Linked DNA regions of Arabidopsis thaliana. The protein of the gene in region 1 interacts with the protein of each later gene in a pairwise test. Each region holds a gene or a part of one and is shown on either strand. Other genes may lie near its edges.

Evidence for each region. The genes of interacting proteins can lie anywhere in the genome.
Region 2: the proteins of GLY2 (region 1) and ESC interact in a two-hybrid assay, tested with the Arabidopsis thaliana proteins (one large-scale study listed by BioGRID).

The regions. Positions count from the first base shown.
Region 1 is NC_003074.8:3,393,689-3,401,489, reverse strand, and holds GLY2 (Metallo-hydrolase/oxidoreductase superfamily protein), read left to right. Parts: upstream 1-1,728; 5' UTR 1,729-1,967; coding exon 1,968-2,014; intron 2,015-2,110; coding exon 2,111-2,233; intron 2,234-2,638; coding exon 2,639-2,800; intron 2,801-2,920; coding exon 2,921-2,999; intron 3,000-3,145; coding exon 3,146-3,259; intron 3,260-3,361; coding exon 3,362-3,538; intron 3,539-3,659; coding exon 3,660-3,734; 3' UTR 3,735-3,941; downstream 3,942-7,801. Other genes in the region: MES17 (methyl esterase 17), read left to right, coding at 1-262; AT3G10860 (Cytochrome b-c1 complex, subunit 8 protein), read right to left, coding at 976-1,024, 1,506-1,675; AT3G10845 (RNA-binding (RRM/RBD/RNP motifs) family protein), read right to left, coding at 3,964-4,069, 4,188-4,211, 4,290-4,378, 4,466-4,580, 4,662-4,723, 4,844-4,919, 5,141-5,226, 5,315-5,395 and 9 more. UniProt on the Arabidopsis thaliana protein: Thiolesterase that catalyzes the hydrolysis of S-D-lactoyl-glutathione to form glutathione and D-lactic acid.
Region 2 is NC_003070.9:7,269,400-7,276,379, forward strand, and holds ESC (Putative AT-hook DNA-binding family protein), read left to right. Parts: upstream 1-3,156; 5' UTR 3,157-3,624; coding exon 3,625-4,560; 3' UTR 4,561-4,673; downstream 4,674-6,980.

The sequences.
Region 1 (7,801 bases):
ACCAGCACCAATTTTGGCGTTAACGACAGCAAAACTGGAAGAAGAGGAAAAAGAAAAAGGACAAGAGGAGCAAGTGCCGCGCGTGTACATCAAGACGTTACTCGACCGGGTCATGAAACCGGAGCAGCAAGACGCGATGATAAGACGGTGGCCACCTAGCCAAGTTTACGAATTGGAGAGCGACCATTCTCCTTTCTTCTCTAACCCTTTTGTTCTCTTTGGTTTACTCATCAAAGCTGCCGTTTCCGTCGGTTCTATCTAAAACTATTTAAAGAACTAAAGGATTGCCTTTTGTTGGTTTTAAAACCGGTTAAGTGATCAGTATTGTCGAGGGAGTGTTTATTTATTTTTGATTTTTGTGACATTTTGGTATTTTATATTAATCGTTTTGAAATAAATTATGTTTTGCTTAATTTTATCTTGCGTCACAAAAGTGAAATAAATTTCGGCAAATCGTGTAGTTTTATATAAATCACTAATTTGCAGTCTTCCAAGGTCTACTTAAAGTCCTAGCCGGTATCGACACCAACTTCACAGTTACCTCAAAAGCCTTAGACGAAGAGAATGACTCCGCTGAACTGTACTTGATGAAATGGACAACATTTCTAGTCCAACCAACGACTCTGTTCATCACAAACCTTGTAGGAGTGGTTGCAGACTTGCAGTGTTTGATTTTGCCTAATAGTTGTTTGTAGTTGATGTCTTAAGGGAACATAGGCAGCGTTTGATTTTGCCTAATAGTTGTTTTGAGGGATCAATATATTACTCGATTCAATCCAATTTTCATACCATATATCAAGAAAGATGAACAACAAGAGTCATTGTCATGAAACCCAAACATTTATTTAGCAAAAGAGTTTCAGAAAAACTGACTCAGAAGATTCCCACAAGAGTTTTTGTGAAATTTATAGGCTTGAAACAAAAGAAATTACTTCAAACTGTCAGGTTCTTGTAGAAAAGGAGTGACTTCATGCTTCAGAATCTGTGCTCAAGCTTCTCCTGTTCCTTGAAATACTGAGCATACCTGCATTCATTGTGTGTATTTGAAAGAATAAGCACAAAAGATGACTAGAAACTAGACCATAATATGCAGCACCCGTAATGTTTAGATCGATCAGGTAACTAATAGCTTCACAAGCAAGAACTCAACAGTTTTAATAGAACCACACTAATCAGCTAATGATTACGACTAAGCCATTTAAATCCTCAACATCTTGAAATGCAATTCCACAGAGTGGTTCATCAACAATACTAATTTGATACCTGGAAGACTTTTTCTAGCTGAGAGTCTCTATATACTACACTCCACTTAATACTCATCTCAAACTAACTTAAATCCTATCATTTCTCATTTGTTCCTATGACACAAACGAAGAACCCTATATCCATATGCGCCGCACAAGACCGATGACACAGATCGAAGAACAATCAACCAGATCGGAACTCGATCCAAAGGTTCCTTTACCAATCGATTGATGAGAGAGATAGAAAGAGAGATAGAGTACCAGTAGGTTCCAACGACAGGGGTAACGAGAAGAGTGGCGCTGATCCAATTCTCAGAGACCTTGTGGTGGATCTTCTCCGGCAGATCCTTCCAGAGACCGGTCATGATCTTCTGCTGAAACGGAGAAAGTGCGTAAACCACCGCCTTCAATTTCACCGGCTGCTTCCCCATTTTCTTTTTCTCTTCCCAGATAATCCCAACAACAACAATCCACAGTACGAGAACGAATCTCCCCCAAAACCTAAAATAAACAATTCTCAACGAAGCTTATGTTTTTTATCCGATTCCGGTTCAGTTACAATTACAATTGAACCGGATGACCGGCTGCAAAATTTATCCTGATTTGTTTCGGTTCGATCCGGTTTGAGTAAACCGAAATAGATAAATCACTAGTCCAGACATAAATGATGATGATGATACAGCTAGTGTTCCGGAGGAGAAGGACGATCGATCTAAGGAGACGATGAAGATCTTCCACGTTCCTTGTCTGCAAGACAACTACTCTTATCTGTGAGCCATTTTGATATCCTACTTCAATTTCGTTGCTTCTTAATCTGACTCGGTTCATCATCAGTTTAGGATTCTTTCTTCGTAAAAAAAAAACAGGATAATCGATGAGAGCACCGGAGACGCGGCGGTTGTGGATCCAGTTGATCCGGAGAAGGTGATCGCATCGGCTGAGAAGCACCAAGCTAAGATCAAGTTCGTACTCACTACGCATCATCACTGGTAAGTAAACCTCACTTCTCTCTATGTCACTGGTAACTTATCTTATTTGATTCATCTCCGAGATTCTCTGTTGGTTCTTATTACTCAGTGATATCGACATATGCTAGATTCCGGTCCTAGACATTAACATTAGTACAAGTCTATTGTTAAATCTCTCAGTTTTCTGATCAAGTGTTTAGCTTTTTCCTACTATCAGTTTCAACTGACTTAGAGATTCATCTTCGTGAGTCTGATTCTTTGTTAAAGTCTGATACTTTCTGCATTAATGTTTCACCTCTTGAAGATGCAAGATTTATTATATATGTACCATATGATGGTTGCCTTTGTCTTCGATGAAATTTGGATTTGAGGCGACGTTTTTATTTTAACACTCATTGTTTGATTGGTGGCTTGATATGATCAAAGGGATCATGCCGGTGGAAACGAGAAGATTAAGCAGTTGGTTCCTGATATCAAAGTATATGGAGGTTCTCTGGATAAGGTGAAGGGTTGCACTGATGCGGTTGATAATGGTGACAAGCTGACTTTGGGTCAGGATATTAACATATTGGCTCTCCACACTCCTTGGTTTGTTTTTTTTTTTTTTTTTTTTTCCAATGAATTTAGATGCATCTAATCTACTTGATGTTTAACTCAGTCATTTTCTCTTGTCATCGCTGATTCCTCTGATATATCTACTTGTTACAGTCACACCAAGGGTCACATTAGTTATTATGTGAACGGAAAAGAAGGAGAAAACCCAGCCGTGTTCACCGGAGATACACTTGTAAGTGGTAACATTAAGCTGAATCCTCTTGTTCTTCCCTACCATGGACCCTATATGTTCTCCGTAGATCTTTTATCTCTGTAAATGTCTAAATGGAGATAGTTATGAGTTAAACATTAAGCTGTGTTTACTTTGATTTTATACAGTTTGTTGCTGGATGTGGGAAGTTTTTTGAAGGGACAGCTGAGCAGATGTATCAGTCGTTGTGTGTGACTCTGGCTGCATTACCTAAACCGACACAGGTTTACTGCGGCCATGAGGTAAAAAAATCAACAGCTTCATTATGTCTTTTGAGTTCTTAACTCATAAAAATGGATGCCTATAAACTGAATAATCCGCTATTCATTTCTTATGGTTCTCAGTACACCGTTAAGAACTTGGAATTTGCTCTAACTGTGGAACCAAACAACGGGAAGATACAACAGAAGTTAGCATGGGCCCGTCAACAGCGCCAAGCAGATCTTCCCACAATCCCTTCAACACTGGAGGAAGAGCTCGAAACAAATCCATTTATGCGTGTTGATAAGCCAGAGATACAGGTTATTACTCCATTTGGTTCATCTTCTTGAACAATTCATGATTCGGTTTTATCAGCTATCACTGTTGATATCGATCTTTACTTTCTTGTCGTATATCGAGATTAACTTTGTTATTTTCCAGGAGAAACTCGGTTGCAAGTCGCCAATTGATACAATGAGGGAAGTTCGGAACAAGAAGGATCAGTGGAGGGGATGATGATAAATGGAGAGCTTCTTGCCTATGTTTTGTGTACTTGTGTTGAATGATCCTGTAAAAGGTGTATGAACCAGTAATGTTGATATTCTGTGTGAAACTGTGAACCGGTTTGGTAAACCGAAATCAGACCGACCTGTAAGCCGTACTCCCTTTTTGAATTTTCAGTTTACTATGGATAATAATTTCAGTGTCTACACTAATCCCCGTAAAAAGAGAGCTTCTTCATCTTCTAGCAGTCGTCCCCGTAAGAGAAGGTAATCTTCTTACCGCAGAATCCGTTGGATTTTGCCTTCTGTTGCTTCAGATTCGATTCTCGTAGAAGGTTGTCTTCGTACCTGCATTGTATCAAAAACCCTTGTGATCTCTCCCCATTTATACGAAAAACTTCACCGAATTTGCCTTTGATAACAAAAAATCTCTTAAAGGCAAAATAGTAGTTAAAAAATCCCTTACCAAAGCTTCTCTGCAAGCTTGTACCTAATTAACAAAAAATGATAACGTTAATCTTCTGTTATGACATCAAAACTAGAGCAATAACATGGAAAATCAATGTACATGTGTTGGAGAGGGTATGGAGCTATCTCAGCCAGCTCAAGAAAGATTTTGTGATAGCGCAAACTTTTACCATTCCTCTGTTCCAGCGCCTACAGTATAAAAATATTTCATCAAAACAATTTCATCATATAAGTAAGTATACACTAGTTTTCATCATTGCTATAAAAACTACTCACCTTCTCTGCTTCATTAGCAGAAGCAAACTCAAAATAGCCACAGCCCATATGCTTACCCGATTGGTCAACAATAAGTCGAACACGAACAACTTCAAAGTCTTGGAAGAAATACAACCTGTAAACATGAAGAGGATAAAACATCAGTCATGAAAAACTTGCTCCAAGAACGAAAGAGTAAACTAAAGGTGCTACTTACATCCTTTGTATACTAGTTCTAGGAGGGAGATTGGTAACAAAAAGCGTCTTTTTTCTTGCTTCCTGTATTTAGCAGCCAAGTGTGTTAGCATGGCTCTAAGGAGGTAACAGTTTTGTTATCAAACACTTGAGCATTTCCCCTCTGAGCCTGACATATTTTGAAGATGATAACAACACGCGTACCTCAACAAAATAGGGAGTTTCAGCAAGTCCTTCCACTGCTGCCTCATCTCTTTCTTGTCCAAGGTAGTCTTCGTACCTGGAACATTAAACAACCCTTGTGATCTCTACATGTATACCAAAAACTTCACCCAATGTGCTCTTGATAACAAACCCTCAAGATGCAAATAGTTGAAAATTCCTTACCAAACCTTGTGATCTACGCACCACCTAGTTAAGAAATATAATATTAGTGTTAGTCTTCTGTGGTGGCAATAAGTTGACAGCAACAAATCTCCATAACATGGAAAATTAATTTACTTGGGTGGAGGGAATGGAGCTATGTTAGCCGCCTTAAGAAAAATCTCGCCATCCTGCAAATATTCACCCTTCTTCTTTTCCAGCGCCTAGAGTATAAATAAACGGTTTAACTAATCAAATGACTGCGACTTGTATACATTACTTTTCATCAATTACTAGAAAAACAACTCTCACATTCTCTGCTTCCTTAGCAGAAGCAAACTCAACAAATCCCTTGCCCACATGCTTGCCAGTGTGGTTAACAATTAGTCGATGCTGTAAAAAAGTGGAGGATAAAATATTAGTCATGAGAAACTTGCTCCAATAACGAAAGAGGAAATCTTAAGGTGCTACTTACATATCTGATATTATAGTCTGGGGAGTAAGATGGGCAACAAAGAGCGTCTTTTTTTTACTTGTGGCAACAGCCTGCGTTTAACAGCCAAGTGAGTTAGCACGACGCAAAGAAGAAAAGGACTTAAGGTTGCACAAAAAAAAAACACAAGATTTCTGTTATTATTATTAAAGGTTTCTGCTGAGCCTGACATATTGTGAAGACAACAAGAAGAGGTACCTCAGCGAAATCGGGAGTTTCACCATGTCCTCTCATCAAAATGATCTTATGACCATGAAAATATTCACCATTCTTGTTTTCCAGCACCTACAGTATTAAAAAGATTTAATCAGCTATCCAGCTTTCAAAAAACTAGTAGTATGTTTTTCATCATAAGTTTGTATACACTAATTTTCAAAATGACTAGTAAAATACTAAAATCGTCCATCATGACTACAAAACCAGTCTCACCTTCTTTGCTTCGTTGGCAGAAAGAAACTCAACAAAGGCACAGCCCACAGGCTTGTCCTCATGGTTTGCAATAAGTCGAACACTAACAACTTCTCCAACATCTTGACAGAAACCGAAGCTGCAAAAGTGGAGGGTAAAATATGAGTGATGGGAGAGTTACTTTTTCTTTGCTCAGAGAAGAAAAGTGGGAGTGCTACTTACATATCTAATATCTTAGTTTGGGGGGAGAGATTGGCAACAAAGAGAACTTCCTGTGCATTATACAGGAACAAGTGTGTTAGCAGGAAACAAGGAAAAAGTAGCTAGCAAGATTCAGCCCCAGAAAATAAGTAAACATTTCGAGCGTTTTGAAGATAATGAGGGCAGTAGGGTGGTACCTCAGCAAAATCGGCGGGAGGTGTCTCATCTTCTTGTCGTGGAAGGAAGTCTTGGTACCTAGAAAAATGGAAAACGCTAGTGATCTCTACATGTATACAAAAAAACTTCAAAAAAAAGTCTTGTTCCCTTACCAAACCTGGTGATCTATGCAATACCTAATTAATCAAAAAATGAAAAGCCTTAGTCTTCTGTGATATTGTATCAAAAAGTCTAGCAATCAGTTACAAAACGTGGAAAAATCATGTTTACTTACGTAGGAAGAGTCAATGAAGAGCTTAGCTTAGGCACTTTAAGATAAATCTTGCGATCGAGCAAACATTCTCCATCCTTCTTTTCCAGTGCCTAGAGTGAAAAAAACGTCAGAAAATAACCTTGGATACGTTTAAACATATAACTAACTATACACAAGTTTTCAAAGAAAAAAAAAACTGGTCTCACTTTTTTTGTTTCATAGGGAGAAGCAAACTCAACAAAGCCAGAGCCAGTACGCCCACCATCTCGTTTTATAGCAAGTCGAACATGAACAACTTCTCCAACATCTTTGAAGAAAGCGACGATATGTGATAATGGGGCTCGGTGAGGGATACGGCCCATAAAGAGCGTATTTTTTTATCACGGAAGCTTCCTGAATTTAACAGCCAAGCAGAAGTTTGTGTTAGCATGACGAAAAGGACAAAACAAAATTGCATAAGGAGAGGTAGCTACCTCAACAAAATCGGGAGTGTCATCACGTCCTTCCACAGTACTTTCCTCCTCCTGTTAAGCGAGTAGCCGTTGGAACAGATTTTGGAGAACAAGATGCTTAATTTGAACATAATAAAACTTATTACAATATTAAACCTTGAGAGAGATTAAATTAGCTTGATCAGACTTGTGCTGGAGGCTATCAGCAAGTCCTTCCGGTGTCTCCTCCTGTTACATTCACATACATACATACATAAGTGGTGTATGTATTAAAAAAAAAAAGTGGAGTGATCCGACGTTACTTTCTTCTCCTCGTCCTTATGTTTCTTGAGAAACGGTTTGGTCTCCAAATCATCATCTTCCGGATTTCTCTTACCTAAAAGAAGAGCAGATCAATGGAAAAGAAAAGAAATAAAATCAACAGCCAAGTAGATAGTAGCTCAGAGCCACTGAAAACAAACCACATAAATTAACTTCCTTGCTAGAACTGGCCATGGAGACGGTGAAAACAGCGCCAATTTTGTTTTCCGGCAAGGCAATTGACTCAAAGTTATAATAACAACCCTAGAAAGAAGGTAAGATACTTGACAAAAAAGAAAGAAAGAAGGTAAGGTATTCATAACAACAATAATCTGGTTTGGGCTAGGCCTGGGCTTTTATTGCCACCAACCAATCTGGTTTCATAACAACAAAATAATCTGGTTTGGGCTAGTCCTGGGCTTTTTTCCACAACCAAGCAAGATTCAATTCAAGTCTGGGATCAAGTGTGTGTGTGTGTGTGTGTGTTGTGTTAAGTGATCCTGTAAAAGGTGTAT
Region 2 (6,980 bases), on another chromosome or scaffold:
ATTAATATCTTATATACATCTGGCTCGTGGTATTTTGATTGATGAGAAAAGAAAGCAAAAAAAACAAAAGAACATAAATATAGAAGTTAAATTAGCATACTGATTGATGGGTACGGTATCCCTAAATCATCACAATTTTTTGCCCATATTATTTATTGTTAAAGAGGGTATGATATTTAGTCTCACGACCTTTACTTTTTGTTTGATGTTTTTTTTTCTAGATATAAAGAGCCAGCATTTTATTCACCAGTTGTTGGATTTCCCTAAAAGAGATACCCTTTCGTGATCGCATGAGAGCAGACTGGGGAGATACATATATGGAGTAGGGGCGTAGGCTGAAGAAGCAATAGCTAGCCACAATAAAAAGAAGAACAATAACAGCTACAAGATCATCAAGGGATCAATTATGAACCGAAACCAAATTGATATTCTTTAGTGCCTCCGAACCTCACATATCTACTGCATCCTTACGAGATATTTTGGTCGTTGGGAAAAAAAAAAAATATATATATGTTTTGATCAGTTTACGTGTTTGTCGGAACAATTTAGAACTGCTTTTATTCCATGTTTGGTAAATATATAAACTCTTATGGATACCAAGAACTTAACTTAGTTTTCTCTAATGAGTTCTCTAACATTGAATTCCACGCGACAGTAACTGGACGTCTGAATTCATTAATACATATATAATCTTTAATTAATGTGAGAGAAATGTGTTCATGATCTAGACGAGTAGCGACAGCGTCATAAGAACTTAGGTACAGTCACATATTTATAGACTTGGATGACGTGTAGTTCTCTCTCTTTATGGCTTAAAATTAAATTATATATCACATGAAACACCTCTCACTTTTCTGTTTTGGGGGCAAATAAAACATATCTCACTTATTTTCGAAGTATCTTGATAGTTCCACACATTCCGTTTTCGATCGATAGAAAAAAATTGGACCAGTTTATGATTAAAATACCGCACACAAAAGACTTCACGTACGTTTTTGCTTTTAAGCATTAGAAATACGGGCAAAAGACGCGAAAGTAAGTTAGATAGATTCGGGAGGAGTACTGTGATTGGATAAGGTATTGACCAAGTACCGATGATCCGACCGCCTCCACGTGGTCACACAGCTTGGCTTTCACTTTCATGCTCTGACCTTTTGACCGCACGTGACTTTTGTCTGTGCACGTGCGGACCAAGCTAACGTGTCCGGTTCAAGTACATTGCACCGAGCCCTGACTCGCCAGGTTACGCCGATGAAAACGACGGTTCCTGGGTCCCACATGCCATGAGGATGGACGGTTCCGATCCACTTCCTACTTTCCTACTGAGATTGGTCCCACCATGGTTCAGGCCACATGCGTCCACGTTGAGGGAGCTTAGGTGTTACTATATGGGTGCAGTTAAAAATTAAGACAACCAGTCACGGTCCGATATGAGGTCATGCATTAATGGGTCGGATCGAGTTTAGTCAGTTCAATAAATTAAGATGAATAAGTCAATAATTATTTGAATGGGTTGATGCAATTGGTAAGTGTTTTCAGGATTATCGTTTGTTTCCCAAACAATTTTTGTAAATTAAAAGTTTGATATCATTTGTATGAAGATGATATATCAAAAAAAAATTTTACTAATACATTACTCATTCTAAATCAATAAATTATCAGTGTCTAGTTGTCTTTTTCTGGTATATTTTTTTGTCCATGTTAGAAAAAGCGTAGTTCTAATTAGTGATTCACCAAATTCGACATAAGGCAACAAAGTGGAGTACTTATCAATAATTTTTGAAAATATAAAGTAGTAGTATCAACTAATTTGACATTTTGATAATTATCAGCTAGTCTTATCACATTAATGGATCATTAACTTTCTCCAAACTTATCATCAAAAAGGGTCCACTCCGTTTTACGATATTTAAAGGAGTATACATGGGTAGATCTCACTATCTCAGTATAGAACAAAGGACCATTACCTAGATTGATTGTTCTACGTTATGCGCCTTATGCCCTCTTGACAATAAAAGTGAATATAAAGTACTTTAGTAGAACATTGATTCTTTGATATATAATTAGCTCGGGTTTAGCAAGATAATTTAGTAGCAACCAAAAAAAAAAAAAAACACATCACAAGCAGAATTAATCAATTGTTGTTCTGCAGCGCTTAAAAGTGACTAATTCTCTTCTTCTTTTTCTATAGTAAAGATGGTTCGTATCCGTTTGTTTATTATAGAACGTGGGTTCTTCTTAGAATATTGTATTCGCAAGCCATATACTATATATCTATTTTAAATTATTATACATTATATTTTTACAAAATTAGTTGACAAAACTAATAATAATACTATACATGTAAATTTTTTTTCTTTTCTTCTTCTATATAACTCACGTTCTGCATCCAGTTTGAATATGAATAATAACATATATCAGCAGCACTATGCAAATCACAAGCCTACAAATATCTAGTAATAATGCAAGTTTATACTAAGTTTTACAATAAAAAGATGCGTAAGTAAATTAAAATTCTAAATAAAATGACCTATAGTAGTATTTTCTCAAGTAAGAGAAGACTAAATAGTACTATTTCTCATTTTTACTTATACGAAAACCTTTTAATTAAGTTACTAAAACCATAAATAAGTTAGTAACATGATAATAACATTTATCAAATAACTTTTGTTTAAACATAACCTCCACGCGCCTTAAAGGGAATGTAGGATTCGTTTTAATCCTTGTGTACCCAACTTCCACTTGACATTTTTTTTTTTTTTTTTTTTTTGTTAAATGATACGTTTTCTTTAGCTCGTATATAATAGTATCTGATAAACAAATTGACCAAATGTTATCTCTTCTGTTAATCTTATCTCATGCTTTCAAATATAAGAATTCCTTCTCTAAATTTCTTTTGTATTATCCGATTGGAGCCAAACAAAAACTGCGACGAACCCCTAGTTTTCTTTGGTAGATCTTATGTAAGGATAACCACTTACACACATAAATTTTTTTGTCGGCATTTGTGTATATGTAATAAATAGTATTAATTTACTTAAAAAAGAACATATTATTCAAATAATAATTATTATATTAATGATATAATAAAGGGGACTGTTTCTCCGCTAAATTCTCGGTGTATGTCTTTGCTTTTACTTTCCTCGTTCAATGAGAGGACCAAAAATTTATTGCAGAGTCGCACATGAATCTCAAGCTTCTCTCTCCTTTTTTTCCCATAGCACATCAGAATCGCTAAATACGACTCCTATGCAAAGAAGAAGCTACTTCTTTCTCTTGCCCTAATTAATCTACCTAACTAGGGTTTCCTCTTACCTTTCATGAGAGAGATCATTTAACATAAGTCACCTTTTTTATATCTTTTGCTTCGTCTTTAATTTAGTTCTGTTCTTGGTCTGTTTCTATATTTTGTCGGCTTGCGTAACCGATCACACCTTAATGCTTTAGCTATTGTTTCCTCAAAATCATGAGTTTTGACTTCTCGATCTGAGTTTTCTTTTTCTCTCTTTACGCTCTTCTTCACCTAGCTACCAATATATGAACGAGCAGGATCAAGAATCGAGAAATTGATTTGAGCTGGCGAATAAGCAGTGGTGGGATAGGGAATTAGTAGATGCGGCGGCGATGGAAGGCGGTTACGAGCAAGGCGGTGGAGCTTCTAGATACTTCCATAACCTCTTTAGACCGGAGATTCACCACCAACAGCTTCAACCGCAGGGCGGGATCAATCTTATCGACCAGCATCATCATCAGCACCAGCAACATCAACAACAACAACAACCGTCGGATGATTCAAGAGAATCTGACCATTCAAACAAAGATCATCATCAACAGGGTCGACCCGATTCAGACCCGAATACATCAAGCTCAGCACCGGGAAAACGTCCACGTGGACGTCCACCAGGATCTAAGAACAAAGCCAAGCCACCGATCATAGTAACTCGTGATAGCCCCAACGCGCTTAGATCTCACGTTCTTGAAGTATCTCCTGGAGCTGACATAGTTGAGAGTGTTTCCACGTACGCTAGGAGGAGAGGGAGAGGCGTCTCCGTTTTAGGAGGAAACGGCACCGTATCTAACGTCACTCTCCGTCAGCCAGTCACTCCTGGAAATGGCGGTGGTGTGTCCGGAGGAGGAGGAGTTGTGACTTTACATGGAAGGTTTGAGATTCTTTCGCTAACGGGGACTGTTTTGCCACCTCCTGCACCGCCTGGTGCCGGTGGTTTGTCTATATTTTTAGCCGGAGGGCAAGGTCAGGTGGTCGGAGGAAGCGTTGTGGCTCCCCTTATTGCATCAGCTCCGGTTATACTAATGGCGGCTTCGTTCTCAAATGCGGTTTTCGAGAGACTACCGATTGAGGAGGAGGAAGAAGAAGGTGGTGGTGGCGGAGGAGGAGGAGGAGGAGGGCCACCGCAGATGCAACAAGCTCCATCAGCATCTCCGCCGTCTGGAGTGACCGGTCAGGGACAGTTAGGAGGTAATGTGGGTGGTTATGGGTTTTCTGGTGATCCTCATTTGCTTGGATGGGGAGCTGGAACACCTTCAAGACCACCTTTTTAATTGAATTTTAATGTCCGGAAATTTATGTGTTTTTATCATCTTGTGGAGTCGTCTTTCCTTTGGGATATTTGGTGTTTAATGTTTAGTTGATATGCATATTTTGGTTTCTCGTGTTTATTTCTTTTCTTCTCATATCTTCGGTAGATGTTACATGTTAGAGAAATGCATGTGTCTCGTTATGTTAGAAAATTCCTTTCCATATATGGCTTTCTTTTATTCATAGCTAGGGTTTCGTGTTGTACCCTATAACTATTATTATAATTAGCTCGATTTGATAGATATATAGGTCTAGACTATTCAATAATGAGTTCGTTTGTTCTTTTAAGAATTTTGAGCTTCACGGCGTATTCTTGATGAAATATTATGTGGGCACATCTCAGGCGCTCATTTGAATATTTTTACAATACGTCAATACGTTACCTTAATCATAGTATAATATAGTTCTTTCAACTTTTTAACAACCTCAATGTAGTATTCATTATAAGGTTAGAAAATTATTATACATATTGATCAATATATACGTTTTGTGCATCTAAATTCATTATTCGTACCATTTGAGTACTTGTAGCGTCTTTTAGCCGAGTATACCTTTTAAGATCACAACTTCTGTGTCATATCTATCTATCTATACGGTGTTATTGTGTTAAGAGTACTGTCATATATACCCATCTATATATAAGGTGTTAAGAATATGCTTACATATTGATCAAAACGTGCATCGTTCTAAATTTTGTAGTTAACCACTTGCCTGATTAGAACGTCTTTTTAGCCGTTTGTACTTACAGTTGAAAATTCCATTGATTGGTGTAATTGGCTATTTAATTACGACAGGGCCGTCTAAGCGATCTCGAGTCTTACCATCTAGGAAAACAACATGGGCAATTTTTAAACTATTTAGCGTTCATACAGTTTCTAGTGTTTTAAAAATACTACATGTATACCTAGTGGCCATGTTATGACCTTTTTCATTCGATCACTACAGTTACTTAATTACATGCATAAAATATGCATTAATGCTTCAGTTAATTAACCGTCGATCCTGTAAAATAGTTGTATCCAACATTATTCAAAGACAGGTTGGCAACAAGTACGTAGCTTTAAGCTAATATTTATAGGTCACATATGCACAGTACCATTTATGTTATAATCGTAGTTTTTGGTTTGAGATTTCCAACCCCTTAATTTTGGCTGGTATGGAGAATTTGTCTCAACTCTCAACCAACACTTCAAATACATATTCTGCTCTTTCTCAATCTATATATATTTCTGTCCCAACAATTTAAATATATATATGGAATATGGTTTTATACCGGTTTATATATTACTATTTTCGTGTTTCTTCGTCACTACAAAATATGAGTTTTTATATATATATATATATATATTGATAAAAAGAACGAGTAAATGATATTGGGGATACTTGTCTAACTAGAGAGATAAAGAGTGAAATTCTATATTCTGCTAAAACTAATCATATTCGTTAAATAGAATGGAATCATTATCTAACATCCCACTGAAAAGTAAACAAATTCATTCATAGAAGAATATGCTTCTGCTATTATGCAAAATATATAACGAGGGGATTACTTTTATTTATTTCATATCTCATACTACATCTTTATTATTTTCCATTTATTCATCTAATCTTTAACCATTTTTAGAGCATAGTATTGTTTTTTGGGATTTTAGTCAATGTATATTGGTTAAAGACAACCGTTACAGAGCACAGTAGAAACATGAAGTAGAGATTATCTCACGTACGTCGGTTACATACAAATTAGTGAACTTAACATGGTAAGATTAACAATGAACATAAATCATTTGTAGTGTCAGTTAAGAGCTAGTCTCTGTCACAACATAACAAAAAATGGGGTTTTGATTACCAAGATATGTGAAAAAGAGGAATGTTCCAATTCCCTAGGGACATATTTATTGACTAGGAACAAAAGGAAGCTTAAGCAAGTAGTAATATTTTTTTATTTTTCATGAGAAAGTTTTAAAGTTATTTAAATGATACCAACATACTAAAACGAATTATAGTTAACTACTTTCAGGTAGCTTTGTTACGCCTATTCAGCTATAGGTGCAATATGGGCATATGGCAATACATAGTTGGGGTTGTAAAGCTACTAAAATTTTGATGAATATGTTATAACTTAGATGTATGATTATTATTGATTGAATTAGTTCTAACTATTTTAGGATGATTTGTTTTTTTTTTACAACTGATATCATGGAACAAATTGCAGATTAATTTCACAAGTCACAATCTACAGTTCTTAGCTAAATATTATAGTGATCAGATGTCTCTTAGTAAAAAACGTTTTAGCTTTGCCAAAATATATAAAATATAAATTAGAATCAATACATATACTTGGAATCATATGACTTTTTTTTGGGGGCTTGGAGAAAGAGCATTG